Linked DNA regions of Saccharomyces cerevisiae S288C. Changing the gene in region 1 together with any one later gene gives a genetic interaction. Each region holds a gene or a part of one and is shown in the gene's direction. Other genes may lie near its edges.

Region 1 (10,768 bases):
GACAATGGTAGATAGCTTCTGTAATTGCGCCTCGCCCTTTGTGATTTCTTTATCAGTAGCATCAGCATCACGCCCTCGCAAAATTGGATTCTCAAAATTTTTCCTAAATTCTGCTCTGGAACCTAATAAGCCAGGATTCGAAAAACTCAGTAGAGCAAAATATTCGGAAAGATCGTTTTGAATGGGTGTACCAGATAATATAACTCTTCTAGGACAACTGATGCTATCCAAAGCTGTGAATGTTAAAGAGTCACCGTTTTTCAAACGGTGCCCTTCATCTGCCAGCATTAAACCCACATTGCAGTTTTTCAATTGATCAACATTTCGACGTAATGTTTCATACGATATGATTAAAACGGGCTTAACAATATTTCTTCCCTGTGCCTGAGCCCAGGCATGAATAGCTTGCGAAACTGTTGTATTACCACCACCCATTGAAGATTTTTTCCCATCAACCGCTAACGGAGTTAGAGTATTGGGACCCAACCATTTTATCAATTCATTAGCCCAGTTGTTGACTAAAGAAGATGGACAAACAATGATACATTTGTCGATAAGTCTTTTACCCTGCGGGCCCTGTCTTAATAATGTCCACATAAGTGCTATACACTGCAATGTCTTACCCAGCCCCATTTCATCGGCCATGATGCAGCCGTAGGCCCCTCTATTGTTTTGTTCAGTCTTTTGAGATTCAGTAAGTGCCTTCTCGTCGCTCTTTAAGGGATCTTCGCTTGAAGTGTTGAACGCCTCAGCTTCTAAGTAATCTTTCATGACAAGCCCTGTGACACAACGGTATAAGAATCTCACCCCTTCGACTTGATGGGGTCTTAAAATCTTGGCCAGTTTTGGATCAATAACCACAGGGACACTAGCAAATTTCTTCTTGTTTTCCGCAGAGTTTTCCGAATCACCGAGTAGCTCACGTAACGGTTTGTTTCTCACACCATTTGTCATCAAAGCTGGATGGCGTCCTATTCTTTGTGTGGGTCTTTCTTCCTGGCTATTCTTTTCCTTGTTAATATTATCCTTTTCCTGTGTGCTTTTGATCATTTTCTTTGATTCTTCTTCCTTGTTATCCATAGATGTGTCATGGACAATCATTTCACCGTCAACGGACGGGTCATAAAGCACTATGGCAAATTCGTCTGTAGGGTCATGTAGAGGTCGAGGTTCTGGAGTAATTTTTTTTTTCATTCCTAACGTTAATGGCAGACTGTGTCTTTGTACATATCCCTTGATTGGCACAGTGAAAGATCTTCTCAAAGTGTACTGGATATGACTCAGTCTTGTCGGATCCTTGGCCAACCTTTGAGCACTAAGAGCATCCTTCCGTCGTTTAGTCAACTGAGAAAAACTTATGTCTTGGCTGTTGTACTCTGCTTCGTCCGCATTTATATCCAAGCCGGAATAACATACAGTCGCTGATCTTTTCCTCAAGCTCCTTCCTCCTACGATATTATCAGACCCGGTGGCGATTCTACCAGCAGCGGGCGGGATGTGCGTGTTCTTGTACGGGACCCTGAACGGTTTCGTTAGTCGGTTCACCGAGTCTTGTACGTTAATAGGCCTAGGTACCAGTCTCGGCCGTTCACCGGCTCCTATTCCATTTGGTGGTCTGTCTGGTAATCTGCGTCTTGCCATCAGTTATAAGGAAATATATATGGTACCTTGAAATAGAGCTAAGTTCTGAGCGTTTGATTTTTCTATACTTTCGTAGCAGCTTTAGTGAAGAAAGAGAAAAGTTGCTGCTCTAGATTTTGTATCGGCTATTACGTCAAGTGAGAAGAGTTTTGGCCTTCGCTTCAGTTAGATCTTCTATTATTTCCTTTTTTTTCTTTTTGTTTGTAATTGTTTTTTATTTTTTTTTTTGCGCGAAACTTTGCTATATTGGGTAACGCGTAAAATACTTTTTATTATTGCAGTAAGGCGGAAGGGTCTTCCCCTTTGCATGTTAAATAGCATACATGGCACCACTCAGGTCCAGAACGTGACACATCTTTGCACCACTTGTGTATTTTCAAGATGTTAAATTTTTGATACATAAGCTTTATCATGCAGGTGCAGTAGACGCATTTGCGTACGCGTTGAGTAGTAATGCAAGAACGCAACAATTTCACGCTTTCTACTTAAGAGGACAGATCTTCGAGCAGAATATTTTTCTCCTAGCGCGGCTTTCAGAATCTTCTTACCATCTGCAGGACATCACATGCAAGCACATGAAGCTGGAACCACGCACCATTAAATGTAAACCTACAGACATAGCTAGCACAGAAATGCTACTTTGGAAACCTCGGTTGCATCGGCTGACCTCGGCTGTTCAGCAACGTGAGCTGGTTGTTGTTATTGTTCATAGAATCCTGTATTTTACCAGTGTAGCTTTGTCCGCCCACCCCACGCTTTTGGCCACTAGTATGTACGTATATGCGTGGGCTCTATATCATTGAAAACGAATTTTCCACGCAAAACCCACTTCACACCATAAAGGCCTTATGACGATGTACATTCTTCCCCTCCCCCCTCCTCCCGAAGGAACCCTTATAGTGATCCTAATACGGTATAACGTAAACCGGAGTTGTCAGCAGAGAGAAGCGAATAATATGTTTTGCGTGGGGTTCCCACGAGCGGCAGGAACCGTAGCGCATTGAAAAATGAATCATCGATCATCTTTGGGTTTCAAGGGTTCGGACTTCGCCAAAGGTCCGAATACTTCCACCAGTATTTCTCTTTTTCCCTTTCCAGTCTCGTTCTTCGCCGAATCCCCGCTTTCCCATCATGATCGTTTCTCTGTTTCTCTCTTTCCGGAACAGGCTCTTTTCTGACCGCCAGTTCGTGCGGTTAGTTCTGTGGATCTTGCAGGCACTTGCCGGTTTAGCCACACTTCTCCGCTGTTTGTGTCGAATTTCCCTCGAGTATGAGAAAGACTGGACCACAAAAGAGGGAAAAAAAATGGGCCGATTTTAAACCATTATAGGTCACAGAAAAACTTTCTTACGACGGTGGTTTTTCAACAATACGTTTCTTGAGCAGGAGAGGAGCTTTGTTCTTTTGCCTTAGTTTTTTTTGTCTTTTTTTGTGAGCCATCCTGCTGTCGTTGCCATACATGACAGATCCACATTTGCCTTGTTGTTTTTAGTTTTTGTTCCTTGCACCATATAAAAGCGTCACTTGTATTTTCCTTACTCATCTAAACTTCAAGCTTTTTCGTCATAGTAGGTTTGTGATCTCGGCAAAGAAAAAAAATTTTTTTGCCGATCTTTCTGGTTATTGTTTCAGGTATCTTTATGAAAGTATTAGTGTACGCACTGGATTTTTGGTAGGTCTATAAAAGTGCAACACATAATCTAAATCATTGAGGTCATCGTATGTCAAAAGAAGATGTCCACAAGCATTACAGTAAGAAATAGAGATCGATCGCTACCACCGCTATTGCTCCCCAATGTTTCCCTGCTAGAAAAAGATATACGGCGTAAAGGCACCCAAAATGTGGGCATCACCGATCCAGAACTCTTGTCGACCACTTGGACGAGGAAGCGGGCTTTTCCGACTGACGAGCTTTTAGGAGGCTATAAGAGATTAAAGCCTGCTGCCGCTGACAGTAATGAGTGCGCTATTGGTATTGCCACGGTGACGCCGCCGCCAACGCTCCCCGTAAGTGCGATTGTTCCCCCTCCACAAAATTACACTCCACCATTGTTTGAGTATCATCCTCATGCTCTTGCTTCCATGGTCAATGAAGACGCTAATGCGTCATGCACTCAAATGTCTATAATTTCGCGCTCAACGAGCAACTCGACAACCTCCTCTGCCACATCTACTAGTTCAATTTCCAAGAGACAAAGAAGTGGCCCAAGTTGTGACAAATGTCGTTTGAAAAAAATAAAATGTAATGCGAAAATTGAGATTTTGCTTCAAGACGATACTATAATGCCAATGATCTCGAACAAGTTGCGGTACGTCTTGACTCCTGACGATATTCGGCTATATCGAGGCACGCTGTTGCGGAATATTGCCATACCGGATGATGTCATTGAGGGTACAGGCTCACGCAAGTTGATTAAGCATATTGATAAGTTGGTTTTGCTCACACCTTGTTTACCATGCATTAAGAAAAAGCATTCTTCTTCTTCCACTAATTTCCCAAAAAATGATAAATGTACTTTTTCAAAAGGCTTTACCAGAGCTGACATAAACATTTCATCCAAAATCTCCTTAAAATTTAAGGATAAAACCATTTACGACATAACCTATGATGACTATAAAAGCATTGATTTTTAGACAAAGGCATCTCTAATGAATAGCATCACAAAACTTGCATTTAGCATTAACATATATGGATATATATGTACACACAGAAAACGTATAAACACTCATGTATAACCCTACATAATAAGAGTATACAATGATACTAGTCATAAAAAGTATTGTGTGTATAGACGTGCGCATATTTTCAAAATATTATAAACCTGAACAATAGACAGAATAAAGTATGCAGCGCAACGACAACGATGATGGACAGCGAAAATTTCCCGTTCGATTGTGTCTCCGTATTATTATTACTCGATATTTGAGAATTCAAGAAATAAGACGACTGTGCCCACCCAAGAGCCACAATTGCCCATTGAATTGCTTGAACAGTCCTCAGGCGCTTGGACATATCCAATATATTCAATATAACACAAACGGGTATCCAGATCAAGTTAGCGTACCCGTAAACGGAAATCAATTCAGGAACACTTTTGAAGCTTCTATTGCGCTCCGAGTGCTCATCTCTATTCAATACTTGCATGGTAATAAATGGTACGCCGAACGTGTACCCGTAAAATAGCCAAATAGAATGCAGTAGCTTCTTAAACTGACTGGCCCTGTCGATGTCCTCACCAGTCTTGACGCCCTCAATTACGTCACTGATAATAAAATTTAACCCCCTACTCATGGTAAAATTGATCATTACCACCGTGGCAGTGATCCATACAGCACCGTATAAATCAGTGTTATCTTCGTTACTTTCGGAATTATGATCGTTTCTAAACGTCAGTACCGCGGACAATCTCTTTTTGAACTGCGTCAAATCGATCTGGAAGTATTTAGAATAGTAGTTTATCAATCCTGGCCTCAATCCATTACGCCCAAGACCGTCGTTGTCATTCTGTCCTATCACTTGGTCGTACGCTGGTGGGTCCATTTGACCCTGTAATGGTGCGGATTCTGCCTTACTGCCCGTTGTGTTATAAAATTCGCTACCCTTTCCAGCAGTCGAGTTATTCATGTTTGGGCTATCAGGTACGGTGGCATCATCAAATGGGTTGGGCTCGTTGCCAAAATCATCTACACCCTCGAGATCATCGTCAATATCTAAAAAACTGCTATTATTGGACGGCATTTTTCTGCTTTTGTCGAGTCAATCCTATTTGCTAGTATACAATCGTGGATGAAGCGTAAAAAAGAACTACAGAACCAATGCGTTTGGATCCAATGTGGTCGCTGCCCTTGGCCCCTTTTACCTTGAGCGTAGGACGTTGATACATTTTCACTGCTTGAGAAATTAGGTATAATACACAGCCGGGTAAATAGCGTTTAATTGATCGCTGCTCCGTAATACCGATATACTGTTACGTTATGTATTGAAAATACAGTTTAACTATTATTTGTAGGGATACTACTATGGGGTCTCAACCGCACTTAAAGGCGCTAAAATATTTTGACTTTTCCTTCCTTATATTGTAGACGTGTTATTTAAAAACTACATTTTCCATATCTCGTCGCCAGAAACTTCTAATTTGGTAAGCCTTCCAATAAATATGAAAGAATCCCCTCTCATAACGTTGGTTAAAAGACATTCCGAGACACATTTTGCCAATATCAAGTATGGGTATTATGTGTTGATAATATCATTGGTCTATCTCATTGGATTGGCTCTTTTGAGAGCTTTCGGAAGGAGAACCCCATCCAGATCGTCGTCAGCTTTCAAAAATAAGATAATTTATCGGTTGTATGATATAGATCCTGCAATTCACTTAGGTATATTGTTTTTTGCAGTCTTGATTCCATTTTATTACCATTACTCTTTGACTACCCAATCTACGGTCTATCTCAAAAGATTAGGGAGGTTGAGTTACGCCTTGATCCCGCTGAACCTATTCCTCACTTTAAGGCCTAATTGGTTCCTTAGGAAAAATTGCACCTACACTGATTTTATACCGTTCCATAAATGGTTTTCACGTATTATCACCGTGATTGGTTTGCTTCATGGGATTTTCTTCATCATTAAGTGGGCGATAGACGATAATGTCTCTCTAAAGCAAAAATTGATTCTGAAAACTTTCAATTTTGCGGGATTCATAATATCAATATTGGTACTTTTTTTACTTATTTGCTCGATTGGGCCAATGAGAAGATACAACTATCGTTTGTTTTACATCGTACATAACCTGGTGAACGTGGCCTTCATCTTACTCACCCCAATACACTCTAGGCCAGGTGTTAAGTTCCCATTTCTTCTACTAAACTGTACCCTATTATTCATTCATATTATCAATAGAATAGTATTTGCGAAATCCTTGATGATTTTGAATAAGAATGCGAATTATTCAAAAACAAATTTAGTCCATGTAAGATTGCCCAGGGCTATTCTTCCAGATTATTTTGAACCAGGGTCGCATATTAGAATAAGCCCTTACAGAAGAATTAATCCCCTCTATTGGTTGCTACCATCGCATCCATACACAATTGCGTCTTTGGCAGAAGACAATTCAATTGATCTTATTATAAAGGAAACCTCTACAGCCGAGCCAGGTAGCCAGATAGAGTCTCTTCGTAGTAATCCAAAATCCTTTCATTTAGATCAAGAAAAAACCTATACTTTGATTAATAGTTATCCTCCCTCTGTACCCGAAGAATGTTATTCTCAAGGCACGAATATAGCTATTATATGTGGTGGGTCTGGTATATCTTTTGCCCTACCACTATTTAGGCATTTTTTTAACAAGGAGAATGTAAAATACTTGAAAATGATCTGGCTGATAAAAGATTACTCTGAATATGAACTTGTTTTGGATTATCTCAAGACAAATGGGTTGACTTTTGAGAAAAAACTCTCGAATAATAAGAGGATTTCAGTATTTATTAGTGGAGAATACACGGCGGAAACACGGTTAGACGAAATTACGACCAATATCGACGATGAAAACTCAGAATATGAAATGGGATCTTTCAACAATGAAGACGAAGACCTTTCGATTTCTAATTTCAATTCAGAAAATGCGGACAGCAATGACAATACGCCAGAGACAAGTCATAGCCCCACAAAAGAGAATGGAAGCATGATCGAGGTAAAATCCAAACACAGTTTTACTCTTTCCAACGAATTGAAGAGCTTCAACAATGAAAGTGCACAAGTGAACCAAAATGAAACATGGTTGTTTTCATGTGGTCCTCCCTCGTTATTACAATTGTCTAAAAAATATTGTAACGATGAAAGGATCAACTTTGTCTGTGAGACTTACGGATTATGAGGGGAAAAGAAAAGAATAATAATGTCTTACGCAATATGCTCGGAAATGATATTCCACGACATTAGATGCTAATTTATAGTATATAGAAAACAAAAAATACATATCTGTTTTTTAATGACCTTTAGTTTATATGCTTTCTTGCGCGGCTATTAGAATACACTTGACAGGTTGTACGCATTATTAATCGGTAAATGGAGATATATTAGAGATGATCGTTTTAAAATGGAGGCTGTCTGCAAAAAAATTGGGAGCTACATTAGCAAAAAGCTTCTTTTCTTGTTGTTCTCGGTTTATATTTCAAGAGGGCAGTAGGAAAAAGGATCGAAAAGCTCGGCCTGTGGCCATGTCCTCTAAAAATCAAATATAATTTACTGGCCAACGTTATCGGCTCTTTTTGATATCTATCATCTCTTTAGCTATTGTTATCTGGCAACTGATTCAACTGATATGAACAATTCCATAATTACTGATGATGAGGTTAGAGAGTTTTACTTAAACTGCTCTTCTCAAACAATTATTGAATCTCTTCTCAGCTTGCACGAGTCATTGAGATTATATTCTCAAAACCATGAGATACTGCTCAATAGGATGTTCAAAAAATTGGATGAAACCAATGCAGACTCTAACATATCCCATATATTCATGCCTGTTGTGAGCAAGGATTTTTCAGGAATAAAAATTCTTGTGAATAACAACAACAAAAATTTTCAAGGTGTGATAAATGTTATTGAGCCTGAAACAGGAAAATTAATCGGATGTTTTGAGGCTAAACAAATTACCGCTATAAGAACTGCCCTTGCATCGTGTATCGGTTTATATAAGCAACTCTCATGTTCCCATGATAAGTTGTTTAGATTTGAAAATGGCACTTGCTATTTAACATGTTTTGGTACCGGTCTCCAAGCATTTTGGCACATATACATAGCTATTAAACTAATCATGTCAGGGATTGTTGGCGAATCTTTGAAGTTAGTTGAAATAAACATACTATATCACAATAACATGATGAGTTTGGATCGTTTGAAATCATTGAAAAACTTATTTGGAAGTAATATAAAGATAGAGCTTAATCAGTATCAAATAAACGACATCAGTTCAGAAGGTAATGGCGCTGTTTCTAACAGTGATATTATCTTTGGTTGTCTACCTACTCTAGAGCCCAACTTGTTTTTGAGGCAGTTGCTAAACAGTAAAGCTTCTGTGGAGCAGAAACATACTTATATCTCATTAATTGGAAGTTACAAACCAGTGATGCACGAATGCGATAAGGAGTTGATTGATAAGTTCAAATCTGATAATGAAAGCGCTTGCATTTTGGTAGATTCAAGGGAACATACTTTATTGGAATCTGGAGAATTAATCGATTCCAATATCGCTCCACATAATCTCATCGAAATTGGTGAATTAGATACTTTGAAAAACACAGTTTTGAATTTGAACGAAAAGGGCTGCAAAAGAACTATCACCTTGTGTAAAATTGTTGGTCTAGCGGTTATGGACGTGGCGCTTGCTAAGGAATTCTTAAGCTTGAGAACAAAAAACACAGAAAACAAGGAATAAATTGCATCTTGGCTTCTAGTTTTTTTATATTCAAAAGGGTTCTTAAGTGTTTTTAAATATGATACTTTTTTTAATATCTTACGATCCGGAAGAGATTTTTGATGTTTACATATGAGCAGTTTGATAGAAATTTTGCAATTTTTTATATTTATTAAAAGAATAAAAGTAAAGTGCAGAAAGAAAACAACATCATAAAATATGAAAGAAAAAAAAAGGCAATGTTAGTGTTATGAAGGGAGAAACAATTACCGTATACTGTTTGCAGGTGTCTATCCTCCACGGTATAGCACGTTAGGACCATTTATTCGCGCTACGGATATAGAGTTTAAAATGACTTAATTACATGAATAATACCATAATTCTTATAACCGTCATCAATCTAACGAAAGCTAGGAGCAATTTTCAACATGTATTTCAAGAAATTAGCAATAGAAAAAGAATTGAACAGATATGAAGATTTTTGCCATATTTTAAAGAGAGGCTGGTGACTTTTCTCTGTCGATCTGTGCATAGCCAATATTAAAGTTATTTTTCATTAACGCGCATATGGAAAATAGACAAATGTCATAGGGTTATAGTTCTTAGATTTACTATTCTCTATTTGATGTCGGCGAAACAATGTTCCTGTTTTTTAACCATATTTATGTTCCACCTCGATAGCCGCTGATTATTAAAAAGATGTAGGCTTGTATGGAAATTTTCGAGACTCCATTTTTGGACGAAAGCAATGAAAATTATATACAGAATATTCCAGAAGATCACCTCAAAAATCCAAAAATATGATCAGTGATTTAACAAGAAAACCGAAGATTTCTATTGTTCCTTCGAAATTTTTTCAGTTTTATGTTCAATCTCTATGTTTTTCTTAAAATGATAAAAGGTCGTCCAGCTTGGTGAAGCTTACATTTAAATTAAATAAATTGGTGTGACTGAATAGAATAGCGTCCTTAATAACTAGAGATTACATTGTAGATGAATAACAACTAATTAATTCAAAAAAAGTAATCGTTAACTATTTCCGGAAGAAACAAAGGCTCATTATCAAATTTGATGATCACAACCAATGTGTATTTAAATAAAGGCCAATATCTCACGGTCTGTTGAATCTAAACTAACTATTGAAATATTCATTTGTTCAGAAAAAAAGATCATTAATATTACATGTACTGATATGCTAACAATCCAAAAATGCTTATACTACATATTGTTGTACACCATGGGTACCGTTAAATGACAGTGTAAACAATTGCAGAAGGAAATGTTACACTAGCGGTTAAACAATACTGAATTAAAGATTTTTTAGTTGAATATGATATGACAGTTATATACGTGAGCAATATAAGTCCCCACATTGAGTGTATGATAACTACCGGAATTACTATCATATTGTTCGTAAGCAATAATAAATCAATTAGTGTGGGTGTTTTATACCTCTCTCATATGAGTATATAAAGATCCTTATTTAATTTTGATTATACTATCTTCTAGCCTTCAATTATCGACATCGCTCACTTGAGCAGTTCATCTAAGAAAAAAAGAACTATAGCTAAATAACCCAGTATTATTTGTTTCGCTGTAGGTTGTTGCACAAGGGTTTCTTCTGTGAACATTTTGAATTGTACGCTTAAGATGATAATACCTAACTGATTCCAACCTATATTAGTAGAACCGAAACATACAAATAAGTGGTTGTTTGG
Region 2 (9,561 bases), on another chromosome or scaffold:
TAAATCGGGGAGCACTTGAAACGATACTAGGTTGAGAATTTCCATGTCTTGTTCTTCGACCAATACCGGGAGCAGCAATTCGTTAACAAGAGGAGCCAGCTCATCCTCTATGTCGTTAATTTTAAAGTTTTGCCTTAAAAGCATATATTTAAGGTCATTGTCCTTAGTGGAACGATATTGCTCAATCAGTTTACTAATGTGCAAGCTCATTACTAGTTGCGGTAGAACGTGATGTTGATATAGCTGAGTGCAATGTAAACGATTTTGCTACCACTTGTGTAATGTAGAACAAGCTAACCTTAGCTATGTGTAAAAATTTTGTAGAGATGATTCAATAAATGTCACGAAAGGATTGTAGAAGGATAAGAAGCAAGAATTCACAAAAAAGAAATGCGTCACAGACAGGATTCGAACCTGCGCAGGTAAAACCCAATGCCTAATTGCTTTTCTGAGGAAATAGCAGGGCATCGCCTTAACCACTCGGCCACTGGGACACGATTACTTACAATGCACAGCAAGAGCACCCCAACAGTACTTTAAAAACTCTCCTCCAAATATGTCTGCAACGTGTACTATTTATTATAACGAAGATAAATAGTAATACCAATGGCCCATAAAAGCGTATTATTCCACTACCATCGGCCTCCCCTACCACTGAACAAGAGGAATGCGTTACGAGATGTAATCACTTATAACGAAGTGGTATATTCCGCGCCATAAGAAACAGCCATACACTTTACTTGAACAATAGAACATCACTGTAATATTAGAAACATCACCCCCCTTCTTACGAAACTGCCACAAGACAGAAATATGACAGAGGTTGTGGGATTCTGGGAGAGCGTGTCAGATGACGAATCAGAAGACAAAGACTGTATGGAGGTGCAGAACACAGTGAGTGCCGACGAGAGCCCACTTGTGCAGAGCCTTGTATCCTTTGTAGGCTCGTGCTCCATCAACCTACTTTTGCCCTTCCTCAACGGCATGATGCTCGGCTTCGGCGAGCTATTTGCTCACGAGCTCTGCTGGAGATTCAATTGGTTTAACCATAGAAACAAGGGGTATAAGGTGTACCCAGAGTCGCGCAAAATAGCAGCATTGAAAGAGATTTCAAGCCCTGGCACCCGTGGGAGGGTTGCGTCCAAGTTCCTTTAAACGATCACCAAAGCATTAGCAACCTACATAAATAAATACACACACACATACGGTAGATTATACGTAACCACATAACTGGCAATAGTTTCACAAGCCATAAAGCTAGCCACGGTATTACCCTCAAACGACCCCGTCTTGGGCGATAATCCCGCGGTGAAAAATTATTCGTTGAATCATCTCCAAATAAATGGATCAGTCATTGCCACGGTGATGAATATGAACAGCGCAGTGCATTTCAGGCAGCGCATAATATACGCTATCTCTATCACTACAGATAATATACTAAGATGTTGAATTTCGCATCAAGAGCGTCATGTGTGACAAGACGTCAAGCAAGCTTGTATTTTGTTAAAAATCAAGGCCCTAGATTAATAGCTTCCACTATTCCCTCGTGTCATTGGCCTTTGAGAGCGCAAGGAGTACAGCCCAACTATCCTTTATCTTTGAGATTTTATTCTACTGATAAGTCGAAAAGTGTTACGAAGCCCGTAGCTCCAACATCCACCGATGCTCCTGCCAAGCCCAAGGAGACGCTTATGGTCAAAGTGAAGCACGCCTTGAAACATTATGCTAATGGGACGAAACTTTTGGGTTACGAAATCAAAGTTTCTACTAAGCTTTTGATTAAATTTGCTCAGGGTTACGAGTTGTCTAGAAGAGAGAGGAACCAATTGAGGAGGACAATGGGCGATGTGTTTAGGTTGATCCCTTTTTCAGCGTTCCTTATTATTCCATTCGCCGAACTATTTTTGCCTTTCGCTTTGAAACTCTTCCCCAACTTACTACCCTCCACTTACGAATCCGGCAAGGATAAGCAAGCCAAGAGAAATAAGCTCATCGAGATCAGAAAAAAGACATCCGAATTCTTGCATGAGACTTTGGAAGAATCCAATTTGATCACTTACAACACCATTGAAAATGCAGAGAAGAAGCAAAAATTTTTGAATTTTTTCCGGAAGCTTTATTCTGCCAAGGAAGGTAAGATTATGACTTTCCAACACGATGAAATAAGCGCCATTGCGCAAATGTTCAAAAACGATAGCGTTTTGGATAACTTGTCAAGACCACAATTGGCAGCAATGTCGAAGTTTATGTCACTAAGGCCATTTGGTAACGATAACATGCTTCGTTACCAAATTCGTTCCAAACTAAAGGATATAATGAACGACGATAAAACTATTGACTACGAAGGCGTTGAAAGTTTATCGCAAGAAGAGCTGTATCAAGCTTGTGTGTCTCGTGGTATGAAAGCGTACGGTGTATCCAAGGAGGACTTGGTCGATAATCTAAAAGTTTGGCTAGAATTGAGACTGAGACAAAAAATCCCATCCGTCTTGATGGTTTTGAGTTCCACGTTCACGTTTGGAGGACTTCCAAAGGAGAACTATTCAAAGGCATTCTCGCCACTAGCTGAAAAAAAAGAAACAAAAAGCAAATATGACGACCTTTTGGATCTGTACTACGACGGTATATTACAAGTGCTAAGTTCCATTCCAGATCCCGTTTACAACGTCGCAAAACTAGATGTATCTGAATCGAAATCATCCGCTGCTGAAACTGAAGCTGAAAAGCAAGTTGCTGAAAAGAAGATAAAGACGGAAGAAAAACCCGAGGAAACTGCTATACCGAAGGAAGAAGCCACCGCAAAAGAGTCTGTTATAGCTACCACCGCTTCTGCGGTTACTCCTAAACTAGTCGTAGTTAATGAAAAGGCAGAAACAGCGAAGACAGAGGAAATATCTCAGGAAAAAGAGAACGCAGAGCCTACCGACTCTGCGGAAGCCACGGAAGCTGAAGAAAAGAAGACATCCGACGATAACGAGTTCAAATTGAACGTTTTGAAGGAGCAAGAAGAACTAATAAAGAAGGAGGAAGAGGAAGCTAAGCAAAGAGCTTCGAGAGAGCATGTGCCAGATGATATCAACCTAGATGAAGAGGAAGAAGCAAAATCTGTACCTCCCATTCCGGCCGATCAAGCTGCGAAGACTTTTGTCATTAAGAAAGATTGATATTAGATCAAAGCCTAAGAAAAAAACTAAAAAAAACTAAAAAAAAAAAGTCAATCGGTTCTCTTTTCTCTGACAACAATGGCAAAAGATCAAAGAGAAGCGTACGTCACGGCAAAACCAGCGACCCTTCAAAACTAAATTATTATGCATGTATATAATAGACACCCTATCTAAACTACCGCCTTATTTTTTTTTTTATACAGGAGCAAAGTGTCTTTTTTGTGATGGCCACGAGGGTCCTTTCACTCATGACTCCTTAATCAGCATCTTATGAGCTGGATTTTCATATATCGGCGATTTTTTTCATCGGTAATGCACGCAGTAAAGCTGCTCGCTCGAGAAAAATTAGTAATATATGGAAGAAGAAGCATAAGCATAAAAGAGAAAATCCGCTGCCCCACCGTAGAAAGCAAACAAGGCTATTGGTTATTCCTCTTTTCACCTGTACTTCAATCTGTAGCACATCATCATAAGAGGCTTGAAAGTTGCTCAAGAACAGTTTCAACGGTTTTTTCTTTTGAAATTTGAAAATTGCTCTTCGTTTGTTGAGCCGTTATCAAGGAAGTAAATCATCAATTAAAGAATATAGAAAGGCACAAAATTTTGTCATTTACGCACACTTTCAATGGATCATGAGACAACGAAGGTCTGTAGTAGCAGTTAGCGTAAAGCCCAAAGGCTTCAAATTGGGGCATAAACAGGGTTCCATGTCTACGACGTCTCCACCTCCATCCTCACCAGATGGAAATGTGAGTACATCAGGACCGTCAGCTATTAAGTTATCCAAGAATTGGGAGTTACCACAGCGCCTAAAACCGGGCCGCAAACCGAAATCCAAGCGCGGGGATGCATCAGCTAATAATGATGGATCGTCCAAGATAAAGAAGGTTCAAACTTCCAACCAGAAAGACCAAATGACCACAAAAGATCATGAGAACGAAGGCGCAAAAGGTCATGAGGGGAAATCTGATGATGAAGGCAACGGAAGTGGTGATGAAAACGGTGTCGATAGCGTGGAAAAGCGAAGGAGGCAAAATAGAGATGCGCAAAGAGCATATAGGGAACGCAGAACAACAAGAATCCAGGTTCTGGAAGAGAAGGTTGAGATGCTACACAATTTGGTCGATGATTGGCAAAGGAAATATAAACTGCTGGAATCTGAGTTTTCCGATACAAAGGAAAACTTGCAAAAATCAATAGCATTAAACAACGAATTGCAAAAAGCCTTGCCTTTGATTGTTAATACTCCATTTCAACAGCAGCCAGAAAACCCGCCAGACAATCCTATTTCGATATTAGAAATGGTAGAAAACTTTAAACCAATCGGCGCTGTCAGTTTAAAAAAAGGAAAGCTGAAGGCCCATTGTTAACATCTCATGTGCCCGCGGTATTAACAGACCAGTCTTTGTCTGAGATTGATATAGCCAACGATTATCAATATCTGAGCGGCAGACAGTTTAGTTCAACGAATTCATCGCTTGATGGCCATATTAATTCACCTCTGTCTTCATGCAGCAGCAGTATCAATGCATGTGCAGGCAGTGGCAACAAAAAAATAAAATGTTGTAGGAATAAAGATGCCATGAAACCAGTAACATGTTGCAACCAAAAGAATAACATAATGCCATCCTTAGTCCCCGTTTGCTGTTCAGAAAAGAAAATAGAATCCGATGCTAAGAAATCAATATCGAAATGCTGTGGAGACAAAGAAATCTACGATAGCGAGAATAGACCGATCACTAAAGAGGATGGGTCATGGATACCTGGAAGCTGCAAGCAATGTAGATCAGACCCCCATAGTAGGAATTTTTGTCAATCACTTTCGAATAAATGTAGTTCAAGCTCTTTCTCTTCCAACAGTGCGTTGTCACCGGATCTAAATGAACAACAAACTGACGTAAATTACAATTCAATCAAGCTACCCGAAATATGTTCCTGCAAGAATGCACAAATGAATGCGGCTTCCGATGCAAAGAGGTATCTGCCGATCAGTTACACATATCAAAAAATCCGTCAACATATGCAAAAAAATAAAAGTATCCAAGAACAACTAAATCCTGAGGATTCAACTTCGATCTCATCAGCGTTAGAGAACATTGCATCTGGATTGCACGTTCGTGGACAGAAAGTAGAATTGCAAAGCATCAAGGATGCATTACATAAGATGGACAAAAACGTCTTGGAATGATGTATTTAGAAAGAAAAGAAAAGTGGAAGCATAAATAGTGCATATAGATATAGGTATATATATGAATTTTTTAATAATAATATTAATGATGTTTTTTTATCTTAAGAACATTAAAAGTAAGCGGCGCTAACGGAATAATTAGAAACAATGTGGTAAAGAACGGGGGTGAAAACTCATAAAACCAAGTTATAAAGTTCTGCCAAAGCACGGAATATCAAAGGAATCTCAATAATTCCGGCAGCACCCTTTGATTTCGAGGACGATTGGCTGGACGAAGTAGCAGATGCGGCAGATTTTAGCAAGCTCGTTTCGCTAGCAGAAGGGGAGGAGGAAGATGCCTTTGAAGTCGAGGATGATGATTCAGAAGATGAAGAAGCGGAAGATGAAGATGAAGAGGAAGAAGAGGATGAAGAGGAGGTGTCGTCGTCTTCTTCGTCGTCATCGTCCTTAGCATCACAACTTTGTTGGGTGGCGATTCCGGTTCCCATAGGAGAACCTGCTCCAGATGTGAAGTAAGCAGAAGCAGCACTTGGCATAGCAGGCAAAGTGTTATTAGCTTCCCAGACACCCTTTTCATAATCAGGACATGTAGAATAGTTGTTGGAAGTACTGTAACCACCATTGCCTTCTGGGTTGGATACTTTGCTGTATTCATTTTTCAAGTTTTCAAAATCTGTCAATTTAGTGACCTTGTCACCATCAATTTGAACGAGCCCGTAATTGTTAGTTTCATTGGAATATTCGTAGACTAGCCCACCGGAGAATACAGAAGACATTTGAGTGGAATAGATAGCTTCAATTTCTGTGAATGGACGAGAGCTCTTGACTTGGTTACAACCAAATTCACTTAAGAAGACAGGAACGGAGTAATCTTGATATAGCTTCATCTTGGTGGAATAACCCGATACCACAAATGAAGATTCACCACACCAAGAATAGTCATTAACACCAAACATGTCGATTCTAGCGTCAGCTTCATCACCACAGTTAAAGTATTCAGCAGCCAATTGTCTGTTAGCGACGATATCAGCAGCCGAGTAACCTACCGGAATTTGTCTGTATTTTCTAGCCTTGATGTATTTCTTCATGTCCCTGACCACTGCCTTGACATAAGTAGCAGTGTTGGTAGTATTAACACTATTGATGACCTCGTTACCAGCGAAAAAACCTAGAACATTGTCGTAATCAGCAAAGGTATCAATGGTGGCAAAGACATTTTGTAAGTAGTCAGCGTTATAGGAGCAGGCTGGATCGTAACGAGAAATAGCACTCGTGGGGGTATTGACATCCAGGATCAAGTATATACCGTTCTCCTGCAATAGTTTCATACAATGGGAATGATCTTGCGAGTTATCCACAGTATAAACTCTGACAGTATTTATCCCTAGATCTTTCAGAACGGGGACGTCTCTGTCACAGACAGATGCGTCTGCTAAGGGATCAGTCAAGTTAGAAGAACCACCAGGCTGGTAATCAACACCACGGATATAAAACCTTTCACCTGATTCCGAATTAAAAAATGCATTGCCTTTAATTTCAATGGATGGTGTGGAACTGTTACTGCTGCTAGCAGCCTGAGCCAAACCAGCACTTAAAACGAAGGCACTTGTAAGAGAACGTAGTAACATAGCTATTTAGAGCTGTGTGTGTAGCGAGTGATATATAATATGTTTGTTACAGCCCACTGTTTACTTTTATATACGAAATGCAACACTGTCAACAAATCAGTTCAGGGACCTTCCTATTTATAGTATAAGCAAAATAAAAGTGAAAAATTTCCTGCGGAGTTTTTTTTCTCGAGAAATTGTGAACAAAAGAAAGCAAAGACACAGAAGATGATAAGAGAGAGAAACAACGAAGAAAGAACAACAATGTTGGGGTTCACCCGAGAGATATTGACATACTGACCTTAGAAAAGGCATTACTGAGGCTACTGACTAAAGCGCGTTACATAAATGCATAGTATATTTCTTGTTGTATACGCAGCGGCCAACTAGTGGCAGCAAGAATGTAATGAACGATTCATCTGCAGGTTTGGAGGCCGCAACTAGATCAAAACGTAAATAGCGGGTGAAGTGTTCTGGACGTTAGAAGTAACGTCCGCAGATCGAAGCTAAACACGAGATTAGATTTCGGGTAACGGAATTGTGATAATTAAGAAAGACCAGACTATGTGAAAAGGCCACGTAAATGATAGAGCACACATTAGCAACTATAATAGACTAGTTTTCGCATCGCTGGAAGTTCTCGATATTGAATATCACTTCCAAGAACGCAAACTTAGAATGGTCCGGATTCTTCCCATAATTTTGAGCGCCCTATCTTCGAAATTAGTGGCGAGTACAATATTGCATTCATCCATACACTCAGTGCCATCTGGAGGCGAAATCATATCTGCAGAAGATCTTAAAGAACTTGAAATTTCAGGGAATTCGATCTGCGTTGATAATCGTTGCTATCCTAAGATATTTGAACCAAGACACGATTGGCAGCCCATACTGCCAGGTCAAGAACTCCCCGGTGGTTTGGACATTAGAATAAACATGGACACAGGTTTAAAAGAGGCAAAACTAAATGATGAGAAGAATGTCGGTGATAATGGTAGCCATGAGTTAATTGTATCTTCAGAAGACATGAAAGCATCGCCTGGTGACTATGAATTTTCCAGTGATTTCAAAGAAATGAGAAACATCATAGATTCTAACCCGACTTTATCTTCACAGGACATTGCCAGATTGGAGGATAGTTTTGATAGAATAATGGAATTTGCGCATGATTACAAGCACGGCTACAAAATTATTACCCATGAATTCGCCCTCTTGGCCAACCTTAGTCTCAATGAAAATTTGCCGTTAACATTGAGAGAGCTCAGTACTAGAGTCATTACCAGCTGCTTGAGAAACAATCCTCCTGTAGTCGAGTTCATTAATGAAAGTTTTCCAAATTTTAAAAGCAAAATCATGGCCGCTCTGTCAAATTTGAATGATTCTAACCACAGATCCTCTAATATCCTAATAAAAAGATACTTGTCCATTTTAAACGAATTACCTGTCACATCCGAAGATCTTCCTATATACTCTACGGTTGTTTTACAAAATGTATATGAAAGAAACAACAAGGACAAACAGTTACAAATAAAAGTCCTGGAGTTGATCAGCAAAATTTTGAAGGCCGACATGTACGAAAATGACGATACAAATCTAATTTTGTTCAAAAGAAATGCTGAGAATTGGTCGTCAAATCTGCAAGAGTGGGCAAACGAGTTCCAAGAGATGGTCCAGAACAAAAGTATAGATGAACTACATACAAGAACGTTTTTTGACACCCTTTACAACTTGAAGAAAATTTTCAAAAGTGACATCACGATCAACAAAGGGTTTTTGAATTGGTTAGCGCAACAATGTAAAGCCAGGCAATCTAACTTGGACAATGGGCTCCAAGAGAGAGATACTGAACAAGACTCATTTGATAAGAAACTTATCGACAGCAGACACTTGATCTTTGGCAACCCCATGGCTCATAGAATAAAAAATTTCAGAGATGAACTCTGATTTCACTGTCATTGCATATATAGTTTAATATTAATAATATTTTTTTCAATTAATATTTCGTGAATCTTATTAGAGATATATTATATATCCGTGTCTAATTTTTAGTTACTTCATCCAAAAACGTCCCGTCGTTGGCCAGTCTATTTCTAAATTTGTCCCACCATGTATCAAACCTCTTGATGGGCACGTTTCCCTGAGCATCTAGGAACCCTGATAAATAGTTATATGCATGCTGAACGATTTTGGCGGCCAATTCTTGTGTCAATGAAGGGTAAACTTGTGCCAACTGCCCTGCCGTGGTAATATTTCGAATTATTCCTAAGTTAGGTCTTGACAAGATCAATGAGTTGTTCTTTTGTGCTTCGGCATTCATGCTGGCCTTCCACTCTTCTAATTTCATCATTCCTTGTTCTCGAGGCTCAATGGAAATACCAATAATCAATTCTGATATGTTATTACTGCTACTTCCATTGGTGTCAGTAAACGGATCAGCGGCCCCCGAACCATCATCTACATCCATGTCTATCTCACCTAATCCATCACTTGTATCTCCAGCGTCTTTCTTCGAGCTCGGTATTTGCACTTTGAATATGGCACTGGGTTTCTCACTGCTTAGGTACCCAAATAGTTTAAATTCTTCCTGAGGGCTAAGTTTGAA

What was found.
Region 2: mutations in AIM14 (region 1) and YOL029C together harm fitness more than expected from each alone (negative genetic interaction), as found in Saccharomyces cerevisiae (one large-scale study listed by BioGRID).

What each region holds. Positions count from the first base shown.
Region 1 is NC_001139.9:194,763-205,530, forward strand, and holds AIM14 (putative metalloreductase), read left to right. Parts: upstream 1-5,798; coding exon 5,799-7,511; downstream 7,512-10,768. Other genes in the region: DNA-dependent ATPase RAD54, read right to left, coding at 1-1,641; SUT1 (Sut1p), read left to right, coding at 3,376-4,275; YIP5 (Yip5p), read right to left, coding at 4,448-5,380; YGL159W (uncharacterized protein), read left to right, coding at 7,959-9,071. UniProt on the Saccharomyces cerevisiae protein: Probable cell surface metalloreductase. May be involved in iron or copper homeostasis.
Region 2 is NC_001147.6:265,606-275,166, reverse strand, and holds YOL029C (uncharacterized protein), read left to right. Parts: upstream 1-4,746; coding exon 4,747-5,352; downstream 5,353-9,561. Other genes in the region: LAG2 (Lag2p), read right to left, coding at 1-210; MIM1 (Mim1p), read left to right, coding at 814-1,155; ribosome-binding protein MDM38, read left to right, coding at 1,443-3,164; YAP7 (Yap7p), read left to right, coding at 3,797-4,534; GAS5 (1,3-beta-glucanosyltransferase), read right to left, coding at 5,526-6,980; SIL1 (Sil1p), read left to right, coding at 7,638-8,903; OPI10 (Opi10p), read right to left, coding at 8,998-9,561.